Xenopus tropicalis: one gene and its partner. The protein of the gene in region 1 interacts with the protein of each later gene in a biochemical or structural test. Links are inferred from orthologs where the notes say so. Each region holds a gene or a part of one and is shown in the gene's direction. Other genes may lie near its edges. The genes, in order: ehd1 and snap29.

Region 1 (3,839 bases):
CAATTGTTTGACTCTAGGGCCAGAGGGATCATAATAGGCAGGCTGTTGGAGAGGACCACATTAACAAGCTGACAGGATTGTTAGACCTGTCTAAAAGATATCTGGCTGATTTTCAGCAATTTATGTATCGAATTTGCTGTCTGACATGGCCCATACATAGGCAGATAAGCTGCCAGCTCAGTCCAAAGGGGCCAAATCAGCAGCTTATATCTGCCTGTGTATGAGCAGCTTTAGTTAAGTCTAGGTATGGGTACATAGAGTTTTATATAGGTGAGTGAATTTCTGGCACTGTATAGGTATGTGTGTCTGTACCTGTAACAGTGTAACGTTTTGTGTTTTTTTTTTTTTTAATAAAGGAATGAAAAGTTTTACTGTAGACAATTTATTATGAGCAAGAATGGGTCTGATAGTGACACCAACGAGTTCAACAAAAAGCTCAGAAGTTTCAGCATATTGGTTGAAGTTCTTTTTTTGTTACCAGATATTGCTAGAGTTAAATGACTTCATTTTTAGTTGTATAATATTTCTCAGAGTGCAGACGTCGGTGAAACGTCATTGGAAATATACTTCGTAAATAAACTGGTGGTTGGCATGAATCACTGTTTGTTTTTCTTCTCATTTTAAACACATGGTGTTAACACATCGCCTACAATACCAAGTAACTTTAAAGGGTTTCTGTAATGATTTTTATGATGTACAGGTATGGGACCTGTTATCCAGAATGCTCGGGACCTGGGGTTTTCCAGATAAGGGATCTTTCCGTAATTTTTATCTCCATAGCTTAAGTCTGCTCAACATCATTTAAATATAAATAAACCCAATAGGATTGTTTTGCCTACAATAAGGGGTAATTATATCTTAGTTGGGATCAAGTACAATATACCGTTTTATTAATACAGAGAAAAAGGAAATCATTTTTAAAAATTAGAATTATTTGCTTATAATGGAGCCTATGGGAGATGGCCTTTCCGTAATTCGGAAATTTCTGAAAAACTGGTTTCCGGATAAGGGATCACATACCTGTACTTTTAATTATAAATTACACTGTTTGCAAAGCAAATAATTCACTCTAACATTTAAAATTTTATTCTTGAACCAACAAATGGATTTTTCAGCTTCTTAGCTGTAATACTGGTGTGTAGGCACCATCTCAGTGCATTGTGCCTGAGTCTGAGCTTTCAGAAGGAGCCGGCGCTACACATTAAAACTGCTTTCAGGTAACCTATTGTTTCTCCTACTCCCGTGTAACTGGAGGAGTCCCAAGCCAGACTTGGATTTCTTACTATTGGGTGCTATTCTGATACCTACTGGGAGCTGCTATCTTGCACCCTTCCTAATGGTTTGCTGATTGGCTGCTGGGGGGGGTGGATATCACTCTAACTTGCAGCTCAGCAGTAAAGTGTGACTGAAGTTTATCAGAGCACAGGTCACATGGCTGTGGCACCATGGGAAAAGAAGGATATGGCTAGCCCCATGTGAAATTTCAAAATTTAAATATAAAAAAAATTAAATAAGCTTAGGACTTAAATAAGTCCTGTTGTGCCAGTATTTTTGAACTTAGGGGACGGTGCCGAACCCTTTAAATATTGTACACCAGGCGGGAGCATACGTGGAAAGACCAGGGTGGGTGTACTGGTGAGTGTGGATTGGCATATCTGGTTCTGACTACATGTATCTTTAAAGCAATCTCTCATTAGTCTGTTCTCTTTTAGCCAAGACATAATTTCCCTCAATATATTGCACACTTCTATGAGAGCCGTCTTCTAAAGGAAAAAAAAAACACTGTTTCTTGATTATTTGGGGTGTAAAATGAAAGCAATGATAAATAATAGTTCTTCTCGGATAATAACCTTTTTTCCAGGGCATAGCATCGGCACCCTTATTGGTATAGTCCCAAGATTTAAAAGAGTGAAAATAGTGACACCTACAGGGAGAAAGGACTAGAAAAATATGTTTGGATTCCCATACAGCAGTGATATTGACGTATAACAGTGGGTCAAATGTCTGATGGGACATATTGTTTTTGTCCCTAAAGGGCCATATTGTAACAAAATGAAAATATGACTTAGAAAAGTCTGCCGATCCTTTATAGAGCTACAGCTGACTTTAATGCAACATGCTTTAGTGCAAATAAACTTTACATTGATCTTCGCCATTCAACCAGGACTTAATAGGCCCATGTGCCCCTCACTGTTAAAGACATTGTAAAATTTGGTGTCATTCTTGCTGTAACATTAACCCCAACCTCAAGTGCTCTCTTGGCTTTGTTTATTATTCTTTTCACTATAGCACAGTGTTTTAGTTTGGCATAATAAATAGCCCCATCTTTTTTTCCCTTATAAGGCATAGTAGAATATGACTCATGAAGTGACTCTATTTTTCCATTTCTAGGGGCTTAAAATCACAGAAATATATCTTTTTTTCCATTTAGTTTATACAGAACAAGGTTAGTTTTAATGCAGAAAAAAACAGCTATATCCTTTTTTATTCACTTCCCTTTGTGATCTCTGATCCCCATTGAGTAAGTGTTGGAACAACAGACCACAAAAGTTCCAGGATGCGTAAATTTTCAAGGAAAACTGTCTATATGATAAACTGTCTTTTGGTTAAGTATTCATTCTCTGGGTATTATATTCCTTTAAGGAAATAAAATAATATATTTCCAGTCGATACATTGCTTTTGTGTTGTACCATTATGTATTAATGCCGCCTTCTTTTTTAGGGTATGACTTTGCTGCAGTCCTAGAATGGTTTGCTGAACGAGTGGATCGCATTATCCTTCTCTTTGATGCTCACAAGCTGGACATCTCTGATGAATTTTCTGAAGTCATCAAAGCCTTGAAAAACCACGAGGACAAGATCCGCGTAGTGCTTAACAAGGCAGACCAGATTGAGACTCAGCAGTTAATGAGAGTTTATGGGGCCCTCATGTGGTCCTTGGGTAAAATCATTAACACTCCTGAAGTAGTTAGGGTCTACATTGGCTCTTTCTGGTCCCACCCTCTGCTCATCCCTGACAACCGCAAACTGTTTGAGGCAGAAGAACAGGACCTGTTCAAGGACATCCAGTCTCTTCCAAGAAATGCTGCTCTTCGTAAGCTAAATGACCTTATCAAGAGAGCCAGATTAGCCAAGGTGAGTTTAATGAAGGTTGGACTTGTTCTCATTCGTTCATGAAAGGTTTTCTTTTCATTCTTAAAAGTATTTCTTACAGTATGTATGGGCCAGTGCTACTACTTATGGCCAGCTTTGCTTCTTAGAACCTGTGCTTTATTGGACCTAAATCTCCCTTAAGGCCTTTCCAGAGAAGAAGTGTTAATATAATGTTTTTAAATCTCAAGGTTCATGCTTACATAATTGGCGCCTTAAAGAAAGAGATGCCTAATGTATTTGGAAAAGAAAATAAAAAGAAAGAGCTGATCAACAACCTGCACGAGATTTACATGAAAATTGAGAAAGAGCACCAGATTTCTCCTGGAGACTTCCCCAACATCAAGAAAATGCAGGTAAGCCTGCTTGCTTTAATACAATAAATAAGCAGAACTAACTCTCCACCTATATGTAATTAAGTAGAAACTAGTATGAGACATGGTGTATGGTATGTTTGAAATTGTTCTATACTGTGTTTTTTTAGGGATCCATAGAATCCACATTTTTGGATTCGTCCGAACCCTTTGTAAAGGACCTGGCCAAATACCGAATCCGAATCCTAATTGGAAGGATTAAAAATTTAGGATTTGGTTCGACCAGGAACATGGATTCGGCCGAATCCAAATCCTGCCGAAAAAAGCCAAATCCCAAACTGAACCCTGGATATGTTGCATATGAGACAATTTCAG
Region 2 (2,516 bases), on another chromosome or scaffold:
ATTTAAATATGGTATTGCATGCTTTGGCATCTGGATTACTATAGGCTCTGAGGATCATTAACTACCAATCCTACATTTACTATTATCAGTATTACAATTGCTTTTTAAATTACTGAAATGTGTGCCTTTGCCCTAATGGGGTAACCCAGTGTCTTTTTACATAATAACACTGAAAGGATTTGTGTGGTATAAGACTGGGAGTGAAATAATAAGAGAGCTGCTCTTCAAATACCCCTTTGGCCTGTCTACAAAACCATTATGACTGCTAAAGTGATACTGACACGAAAAAAAAACTTTTTAAAATATAAATCTACATAAAAAGTTGCCTATAGGTCGTGTTGATCATTTTTTACTGATAGGGCTGCTTTTGTAAGTAATTGTTACTTGAAATCCCAAAACCTGACTGTTTTGCCAGCCTGACTGTCCCTTCTCAGCCTGTCAGTTATAGCTTCTAATGCTAACGGCCTCCTGCTGGACAAATATGGCCGCCCCCTCATAGAGGAACATGGGGGATCAGATAGGGAATGTAAAAGCTTGGACAAATACTTTTATGGCAAAATTATAAATAGCATGCAAAGACAATGTTATGACAGATGTAAAAATAATTTCATTTCTGGTGTCAGTATCTCTTAACAAATACTTCCTGTTTTGGCATATCTTTCATAAACAGTTTGGAGGATTGCGACTCTAATTACCAACCAACTAATCACATTAAGAATCTATTGGGAAAGAAATAGGCTCCCAACAGATTTTAATGACTGATTCTAGGCATCAAGGCTACCATTTATAGATGACCTGGTTAAAGCTAAATGACAAGGTGTAACCCATACACCGTATTTTTTTTTTCCATACCTACTAATATTGCTGCATTTTAAAAATAATAATACTAATCCTAAGGTTGTGTTATTCCTTTCTTCCAGATGACATGTCTTTAGGTTTGGGTCGCCTGAAAAACCTTGCACTAGGACTTCAGACAGAAATCGATGACCAGGATGAGATGCTTGGGCGCCTAACTGGCAAAGTAGATAAGATGGACTTAAACATCAAGACTACAGACAAGCGGATTCGCGAAGAGCTATAAAAGACAAATTTCAGACTTGACCAAGACCGACTCTTGAGTTTTATTCTTGTGGTTTTTATAATGTTATGCAGTTTTTTTTTTTTTTGTTTTTTTTTATACTGGGACATAAATATCCCACACATCCCTATCTGAATCTTATATCTTCTGTATAACTATACATTACATTCGTTAGCATTAAATGTAGATGATGTTTTGCAGTATTATTACTAATATAGATCCTTATTAAGATATAAAAATGAATTGTCTTACTATTGGAATTGTATTGTAGTGATTGGCAGTTTGTTATAGCTCTGGATCTGAATAAAGTATTTGAGTTCATTTGCTAGGTATTACCTTACTGCTATATGACAGAATAGACATATGAACATGCCTTTATTAAAACTGCAATATTTTACACATGCTCGTAACATAGGGTTTAATGGGCCCTGCCATATGCCACTTTCTTATTACCCTTATTATTTTAATCTAGTGTTCTGAAACTTTGTGTATAAATATGTTTATAAATTTATGTGACACTCCCGTAAACCATACTGTGAATATTTTATCAGTTTACTTGTTAAGTTAAAAAAAAAAGCCTAATAATCTTGCCTGTTATTATTTTAACTAACTTGTTTAATATATTATTTGCTTTCTGATTTTGTGCCATTTGTCTTCTTTAGACAAATTTGAGTCTGTAGACTTGTTTCTCTGCCTGACATTTCAGATAATTTATTCATACTCCCTTATACTTATTAAATGTTTTGGACATAGTAATCCTTATTTCCCCTTTTGTATTATTAGCACACTTGGGCATATTTTAAAGCTGTGTAAAATATTACATGAGCAATAACACCATGCACCCTTGTAACTATCAATTACAAAGTTGTAATCATAATCAAAACGGGGCACATGTGCTTCAGATAAAATCAGTGGTAAAGAATTTATAGCAGCTGTTGAAGGCAAATGTGCCTAGCTTTTTAGTAGCTGTACATTAACATATATACTGTATATCTTTAAGCAGTACAAGCTATGATAACATCTGAGCCTGTGTTTCACTGTCAAATGCATATATGTTTGAGGGCGTGTTTAAAAAGGCCACTTTGCATACTAGACTGAGAAGTAGCACAATAATCTTGTACAGCAGCATTTTTACCTAGACATAATATATTGATAAATATAAAAGATTATTTGGCTACTTGATGCAGGGTTGCATGTCCTATATCATTGCTATATTTAACTAATTTTTATAATTGTTTTCATCATAAACAATAACATGTAGTGATAAATTGGAACATCCCTACACAGTGTATACACTTGACTTAGGTTCCTCCAAGAGTTTCCATAGAGAACTATCTTGTAGGCCGAGTGTACATTAGGGTAAACAATGTGCTTATATCTTTCTCCCTGGAATCATTGAAGTCCACTTTATGACATCCACAGCTATTAATAGTTAAGT

What was found.
Region 2: the proteins of ehd1 (region 1) and snap29 form a complex in vitro, tested with the Homo sapiens proteins (2 studies listed by BioGRID). The link is inferred for Xenopus tropicalis from reciprocal best matches to the Homo sapiens genes EHD1 and SNAP29.

What each region holds. Positions count from the first base shown.
Region 1 is NC_030680.2:32,934,085-32,937,923, forward strand, and holds part of ehd1 (EH domain-containing protein 1), read left to right. Parts: intron 1-2,722; coding exon 2,723-3,135; intron 3,136-3,341; coding exon 3,342-3,506; intron 3,507-3,839. UniProt on the Homo sapiens protein: ATP- and membrane-binding protein that controls membrane reorganization/tubulation upon ATP hydrolysis. In vitro causes vesiculation of endocytic membranes. Acts in early endocytic membrane fusion and membrane trafficking of recycling endosomes.
Region 2 is NC_030677.2:153,632,964-153,635,479, reverse strand, and holds the end of snap29 (synaptosomal-associated protein 29), read left to right. Parts: intron 1-920; coding exon 921-1,081; 3' UTR 1,082-1,716; downstream 1,717-2,516. UniProt on the Homo sapiens protein: SNAREs, soluble N-ethylmaleimide-sensitive factor-attachment protein receptors, are essential proteins for fusion of cellular membranes.